Linked DNA regions of Drosophila melanogaster. The protein of the gene in region 2 interacts with the protein of the main gene of each other region in a pairwise test. Each region holds a gene or a part of one and is shown on either strand. Other genes may lie near its edges. The genes, in order: CG42597 and Syt12.

Region 1 (3,496 bases), on a different chromosome or scaffold from region 2:
ATTTGTCAAAAAACATTTTCCACGTATAATCTAACGCCCTAAAGCCGCCAAACCGGTCACGCCCACACTTTTGAACAATTTTTAATGTGTTCTCATTTTATTCCCCAATATCTATCAATATCCCAGAAAAATTATGAAATTTCGCGTTTGTATTCACACTAGCTGAGTAATGGGTATCTGATGGTCGGGGAAGTCGACTATAGCATTCTATCTTCTTTTTTGCATATTGTTCCAAAAAAGTATTAAAATATCTCGTTCATACTTTTAGCTGAGTACCGGGTATCGATATACCAAAAACATATTGGGCACACCCACTCTAACGTCACACCCACTCGGCGTCCACCATAACGCCTACAATCCACAGAAAAGCCGCAGCGGCCACAATTTTCGAAAATGTTATAAGTTTATTATTTTTTTATGTTTCTTGGTTAAAATTTGGAAGCGTTGTCATTAAGCGTTGGTGAAGTGCATCGATGGCGTAGATTGGTTCCCAACCACAACAAGAATTCCTTTTGTGTAATTGGCTGATTTGAAACCACGTCTATACGTGAATAACGCTTTTCGGAACCGCACCTCAAGACCAGGATCAGATTGGTACGCTTACCGTCTACCCGGTAGTCCTTACTGTCCTGATGCAGAGCAATAGTTTCGTAGATGGAGTAGACTTTTCCAACATTTAGCCGCACAAAGGATCCAATCACAGCCTCCGCGAAAATAGGTTTACCCAGTAAGTTCTTTATGTCGTTCCGTTTTAACACTGCTCGACTCAGCTGTTCCAGGTTGGATACGCGTTCATCGCTTTCAACGTTCGTTTGCGGATCGTTTTGGGCTGTATTCTCGCTCTCACTGTTAGGCGAGGAATCGCCGGAATAAGTCTCTTTGACCTCGATATTTACATCCTTACGCGTTTGTGCCTTGCAATCATCACTAGACTTCGTCTGCTCTGCACTGTCTTCGGAACATTTTCCCTTGCTCAATTTAATGGTGCGAATTGCCAATAATCGCTCAAAAGCATGTGCTGTTTTGCCACCAGACTCCAGTTTATTTGCGATCTTACGTCTTGTCCGTAAGCGCTCAACCATTTTTTTATACTTTTACTCTACGAATATCGGGTATAAAAAGTTTAATTGTAAATTCGATGAATTATTCAAAAATGCGAATCATAGGTAGGCCTCAGCAGGAATCATATTTATATGAACTTTTTTTTAATACTAAAACTACCGGATATTCAACTGGCAGTTTTTGTAATATTACAAATATGTTAAATTCTCGCAGCTGTTCAGTGTTCCTCATTCAATTTGCTTCGCTCGACATCGGCAAATATGAGTTTTGATATTGGAATTTTTGGTGGCGGCTGTTCAATAAGCACAAAAAACCGTAATAAGCTAGAATCCACGACAGGTGACTGAGTTAGCAGGAGAAAAAAAATATGCGCACACAAAAGCGAACCATTTTGTGTGGGTCTGGCGAGCAGTACGCGTATTCTTATTTGGCTAAATGACAAAACTTCATCAAAGTGAGCTTACGACTTCCTTGCTTTGATAAAAATTCCAATTTCTTTTTAGTGATGTTGGCTTTTGGCCGGACTTCCATTGGATATCTAATTGGAATTTAAAATGGCGGCACAATTAAATGGTACTGCTATATAAATAATTCTACAGCAATTGTTTGCAAGAAACACTAATTTAAGTAAAATGCAAATGATTTCCGGTATTAGGAGCACGGAGTGGAGCCAGAAGTGGTGCTCCGCATTCGAGGTGAGTGCGTTGGGGATGTATCTTCTGGATATTGCATGAGATTCGTATCCCCTCCACCTAAGTTTTCAATTGCGATTCAGTTTCGTTTCCATGTTGCAACTATAGCAACGACGACGACGTCATACGATTAACGTGAGCTGCATATTTTCGGCTAATTTTCTAATTAAAATGATATTTATGCATTTTTTAGCTGACAGAATTAAACATTCAGTGCCAAAGCCAATTTTTACAGGCAAAGTGAACAATGAAGCACGTACTAACCTCTCGCATAAAGATATTGACATTACATATTACAAAAGATAAGGGAGTAGGTATAATCCGTTTTAAAAGGTAGTGGTAAAGGTAAGGTAGACTTCATAAAAATCAATCAATTTTTTATCTGCTTTAGTCTTCCACGAGTTCAGCTGGTTTTCAACTTTGAAGTCCCTAAAGTTTTCATTTAACTTGCCAACGCAATACAGGAATTATTCTCCGACCCAGCAAGCATTTTAAATTGAAACAAACAAAACAATGTGTTTTGTTTTTTTTACCTTATTCATTCTAAATTTGTGTAACTTATACATATTTACAAGACCGCGCAGGCAAGTCACTTCTAACGTCTATATACAGGCAATACCCGATAGTTAACCAATATCCCTTTCTAAGGAAATGACCAGTCCCACGCCTGTTCTATTGGCCTTCGTTGTGCACATGGTGCTCCACACAACGCTCTTCATACATCTAGATCCGGGTATAATTGCAGACACCCCCGTCTTTGGTAGCCAGTTATTCTATTTATCAGTGATGGATCTGCTGTGCGACACAGAGGTAATACCCACGCACTGGAGTAACATTCCGCGGTGGGGAAAGTTTATCCTTGAGACCATTATCGCCATCCTTATTGGCGAAACTTTGATGGTGGGCGTATGGCTTTCCATGGAAACGCTTCTCGTCAACTTTATAAATGTTATAACCAATTGGTTGGGCCTGGGCAGCCGTACAAACACTAATTTCCAGGAGATCGGCACGATTTTATTGGGAGTTATCTTTTTAGTGATAGTGGGTGCCATTACAAATCGACCGGCCAAAGTTTGGAAAATGGCACAACAGTCTTGGAGAATCATCACACAACAAAGTCGTCCTTCGTCCAAACAGAAATCTTTTAAATAAGCAAAAGGACCCACATCGTTTTCGGTTCCTTCTATTAATTTGGGATACCATTTCTAGTTTATGTGCACTTTTTTATTAAAAGGGTGCTCAAAAAAAAAAAATTGGTTATCTCTAATTTCAAGTACCCATCTCTTTGTTCTTTTAACAGTGAAATAGTCAAATATAGTCTTTGATATCTATGCACCCCAATGCTTAATGAAGCTCGATATTCACAAAAGGATGCGATGCACCTTTGTAAATGTTAGCATACGACCTTTACTTAAGAAGAACAACAGGTTTTTCTAATGTCTCGATTCGAAGCCATAGGGCAATTAAATATGTCACGGGTGGGAGCGGAAACTTGTAAGACATTTAACTGTTTGGGCGCGCTTAAATGGAATCTGAGTGAAATAATTACCGTTGGAGAAAATGATTTCGAACAAATCATGTCTTACGGTTATTATACAAAAGGACATCCGTGATCCCTTAGGCAAGAAAATTCGAGAAACATAAGCTGCAGTTGCGCTAAAGGTGTGGGTGTAATTAGTAACATTTGTGCCACCAAACAATTAACATAGAAAGTGGCTCGAACTCTGTGAAGAACACATGTG
Region 2 (5,238 bases):
ACTGTATTCAAAAAGGAAAATTCTAATTTTTCGCCATTTTTTGCAAATTTTGATGATGTTACCCCTTACAAAAAATGCGAAAATTTGGCCAAAAAATTATTTTACAAAATCCGTTCAAAAGTGATAGGGATGGTTAGTATTGGTAATAGGGAGCATAAAATGGTAATTCTTTTTGCTGTGAGGGCATTTTTAACCAAGTTATACCCAAAAAACCGATCTTAATTATTTCAATTTTTGGAAAAATGGTTTCCCTGATTTTTTGTAAAAAAACTAATCGGTATTTTAATCAAAACATTGAAAATAATAATCCAAATATGGAATGTCATACCTCGTTGAGTTTGTTTTTTGAATCCCAATCGATTTGCATTCAAGTTTGGGAATTCTAGGATTTTTCAATTTTTTGCAAATTTTGATGATGTTACCCCTTACAAAAAATGCGAAAATTTGGCCAAAAATAAATTTTACTAAATCAGTTAAAAAGTGAAAGGGGTGGTTAGTATTGGTTATAAGGAGTATAAAATGGTACTAATTTTTGCTCTGTGACCATTTTTAGTCAAGTTATAGCCAAAAGAGCCAACTTGAAAATTGAGTTTTTTGCCAAAAATAGTTTCCCAGATTTTTTGTGATAAAATATTCGGTATTTTGATCAAAACATGGGAAATAATGGCCCAAATATGGAATGTCATACCTCGTTGAGTTTGTTTTTTGAATCCCAATCGATTTGCATTTAAGTTTGGGAATTCTAGGATTTTTCAATTTTTCGCAAATTTTAATGATGTTACCCCTTACAAAAAATGCGAAAATTTGGCCAAAAATAAATTTTGCAAAATCCGTTAAAAAGTGATAGGGATGGTTAGTATTGGTAATAGGGAGCATAAAATGGTAATTCTTTTTGCTGTGAGGGCATTTTTAACCAAGTTATACCCAAAAAACCGATCTTAATTATTTCAATTTTTGGAAAAATGGTTTCCCTGATTTTTTGTAAAAAAACTAATCGGTATTTTAATCAAAACATTGAAAATAATAATCCAAATATGGAATGTCATGCCTCGTTGAGTTTGTTTTTTGAATCCCAATCGATTTGCATTCAAATTTGGGAATTCTAGGATTTTTCAATTTTTTGCAAATTTTGATGATGTTACCCCTTACAAAAAATGCGAAAATTTGGCCAAAAAATTATTTTACAAAATCCGTTAAAAAGTGATAGGGATGGTTAGTATTGGTAATAGGGAGCATAAAATGGTAATTCTTTTTGCTGTGAGGGCATTTTTAACCAAGTTATACCCAAAAAACCGATCTTAATTATTTCAATTTTTGGAAAAATGGTTTCCCTGATTTTTTGTAAAAAAACTAATCGGTATTTTAATCAAAACATTGAAAATAATAATCCAAATATGGAATGTCATGCCTCGTTGAGTTTGTTTTTTGAATCCCAATCGATTTGCATTCAAATTTGGGAATTCTAGGATTTTTCAATTTTTTGCAAATTTTGATGATGTTACCCCTTACAAAAAATGCGAAAATTTGGCCAAAAATAAATTTTACAAAATCCGTTAAAAAGTGATAGGAATGGTTAGTATCGGTAATAGGGAGCATAAAATGTTAATTCGTTTTGCTCTATGACCATTTTTAGTGAAGTTATACCCAAAAAACCATTCTTAGATATTGCATTTTTGAAAAATGTAATTATTTTAAAATTTTTTGGAAATTTTTATCCAAAATTTCGAAATTAGTTTCCATAAATCATCCAAAATGTGTTTTTAGTATTGTTAATTAACTTTGTGATTTGGAACTGAATTATCGCATATTTCTTTTAGGGAAGCTGCACTGTATATTGCCAGATCCATTAAGCCTGATTATTTATTTTCTCTACTCTGTACTCATTAATTTGCTCGGAGATGCATCGTATCCAGTTCATTGAGCTGGGAATTAAATCGGTTTAATTATACATACATGCCTTGGGTAAAAGAGCATTACATTAATTTACCAAAGCATAGGGTAGCCTATTAGATACCGTGTAATACGAGAAAGGATTTACTATGTAATTGCTTAAAAGAAACTAGAGTTGCAGCTGTAGCAATGTTAATTTCCATTTTTAACAATATTATTTGATTGCAACTCAATAACAAATTAAAAGGATTTCAGATTTGAGATGCTCTTTAATTAGAGGTGTTCTTAGCTGCGATAAACTTACAAAATAAAACAGAAAATACACAATCTGTTTTATAATCCTCATAAAGCAATGCCCTTCAGAAGGCAGTAAAAAGAGCATTATATTTGGTGAAACTGTCGGTAATTTCAGTCGTAATTGGCCATTAAAATTTGGCTAGTTTAGTAGGGCCAAGTTGGTAGCACAACGCTTGTGGCTTAGAAGAACTTTTAGCCGGGCCAAGAGGCAGCAGCCAGCTGAAGTGCCACTTTTCATTAACCTACTGGGAGGTCATTCCACTGGCTCTTTGCTCTGTCTTTTGTTGCTGCAGGTGCACACAAACACACACACTCACGCAGGCTCCTCCGATAACTGATATATGTATATGTATGTATGCGCATATACCATATATATATGCTATATACACTATATTTGGTTTTGGGCCTGAAAGTGTCGCACCGAATTAGCCAGAGATGACCTCTTTTGGGCCATCAGAAATGGGACAAGCTGTGAAAAGTGAACGCCAGTCACGTTCGGCGAGTGACAACTGTAGCCCTTACCCCATTTTCCATTTCCATCGAAAAAAAAACAAAGAGCAGAAATCAAAAAACTTTTCACTGTGAAATGGAGAGTGAAAAGCGGGCGAAAGTCAAAGTAATCAGAAATGGGAAAGAGCCAGGGAGATGGAGGCTCAAGATAAAAGGCCAAAAATCTAGAGCAACGCACACAGACACACCGAAACGCAGCTCATTTGGATTTTCCTGCATTTTTCCCACTCGCACTTTTACCAAACAAAACAAAACAGAACAGAACGGAACAGAAGAAGAACTAGCAATTGCTTACCTTACTTATCCTTGCTGATCATTTGGCCACATTTAAATGGCAAATATATTAGTTTATCACTCTGATTTAACAATACAAATAATAACAAGTAGTAACGCTGCGGAAAGAGGAAGAGCAGGAAGCGGAAGTGCGGGCGGAAAATTCGCTCATTTTCGTAGACCGTTCGGTGCCAAAACTCGCGGCCAACTGGGGGAAAGCTGGTCAAAACACAGCAACAACTTTGCTCCACTTTCTCTTTGATATGCGTTTTTGCAGCTTTAAGCTTTCGTTTTGAAAACAATGCAAGCTTCGTCCTTTCTAACGAACTTTGCGTCGGCAAAAAAAGGCGAGCTTTTGGGACAAGCTTTGACACAAAGGTTAACTATTGGCGAATGCTATAAATGCACCATAATCTAAGGGCACAGCCAAAACTTCACCTAAATTCTATAAAATTAAAGGAAAACGCCATAAATGCGACTTAGGTTTATCCATAAAACGGTGATGATAAATGATAGAAGCGAGCTTTTTATGGCGAAATTTTCTGCTATTTAAATGTATTTATCTTAAAGAACTTGTACTTTCTAATAATTAACTACCAAATTTATTACAAAACGTTTTAAAAGAATTACTCTTGTTTAAAATGTGCTTAAAAGTATAAAATTAACTAAAAAATATGTTCTTTGGGCATATAATGTTTTTACATACGTAAATAAATTGTAAGAATGCGTAAATCTACTTAGAAAACAAGCGCATCTTAGAATATTAATGTTTTCGAAGTCTGTACTGAATTCATAATATTTTAATAAGAATATACGAATAAGAATAATATGTTCTAGGCGATATTTTCCAGTTCGCTCGTGTCACGACTTCCACCAAAAACACGTGCGGCGCATATCTGTCCTACGAAGGGGCTGAAATCGGCTTGGAAGGCATATAACATATATCGTAACTGTTATACTTTTCCCATTTGGCAATGCCGTTGTACAGCATGCCCATTTCCGGTAACAGCGATACTTCGGCTACTTTCCCCCAACTGTTAGCCACTTCCCCTGCCTGTTGGTCATGGAGTAACTTTTGTGGATCGCAAGCTATAGAACAGTTTGACCTTACTCAATGTTACTGCAATCCCTAATCCTGGAATTTTAACATTTGCCGAATCCGAATCGCTTTAAGCGGATTAAGAAAGCAGGAGAATGAAAAACTAAAAGAATGATAGGTGCGGGTAGGGGAATGGGGGTGCCTTCCGTCACTCCTCTCGGCTTGCAGGGTAAACGGCGGTGGGGTGCAGCGGGGGGGGGGAAGGGGGGTGAGTTCTCGAAAACCTGAATAATAGATAGATACACACACACAAGGGTCGGCCTTTCGGCCGATAATGGCTTTAATTCGTGGTCAATCTAGCGTGACTCCCCAAAGGATGCTCGGCGCGAAATGTTTTTACATCTCTCGCTCTCTCGTTGCCCCGAAGCGCCTAATAAATTTCACATTTTGCAACTTGCCGCATTTTGATTTTGCGGCCATTACGCAATTTTTGGCACTGCCGAAATGCCAAAAAGGCGAAAGGCATATATCCCAATCCCCAGCTGAGCCACGCCGCAATGAAAATGCTGAATACAAGAAAAAAAAAATGAGAAAAAAAACCACTAACGATTAAAAGCACACTCAGTTTGGATAATTTTCACAGAATTATTTCGCAATTCCTCTGACAGCAGCAATCAGCAGATTGTTCGCCAAATCAAATTGCTTTCAATCGACACTTTGGCGAACGATATTTCCACCGGACAAGGGGGCTATAGCCACGATGCTCGATATTCTCGATTGTCGGTCAAATCTTGGTGGGCAGAAAATCAAAAAAAAAAAAAATAAAAAAAAAATACAACACAATAAAATGAAATAAAATGAGAGAAATAAAATAGGAAAAGGAAAACCGCATTTCAGGCTAAAATGAAACAATAAAAACGAGTGCTGGGGTCGCAAAAATGAAAAGGTCTAAATTGCAAATGAAATGCAACCGAATCAAATAAAAAAAATAAATAAATAAAAATAAAAACCAGAAAACAGAAAAACAAAGGGGCATTCCCGAGTTGAAGAGTCAAAGGGAAAGCAAATAAATTGTACAAATTGTGGTAAATTGCGACTAACACAAACAGCAACTATGTTGTGAGTGCCACTGTATAGTATGTATAATAATGCCAAATGCCGAAATGATTTCAAATGCAATTTCAATTGAATTTGCAAACAGGCTTTTCCGAAACCAACCAGACCCCACA

The links.
Region 1: the proteins of Syt12 (region 2) and CG42597 interact in a two-hybrid assay, tested with the Drosophila melanogaster proteins (one large-scale study listed by BioGRID).

The regions. Positions count from the first base shown.
Region 1 is NT_033779.5:22,064,103-22,067,598, reverse strand, and holds CG42597 (uncharacterized protein), read left to right. Parts: upstream 1-2,255; 5' UTR 2,256-2,338; intron 2,339-2,402; 5' UTR 2,403-2,405; coding exon 2,406-2,906; 3' UTR 2,907-2,995; downstream 2,996-3,496.
Region 2 is NC_004354.4:13,357,192-13,362,429, reverse strand, and holds the start of Syt12 (synaptotagmin 12), read right to left. Parts: upstream 3,183-5,238; 5' UTR 2,993-3,182; intron 1-2,992.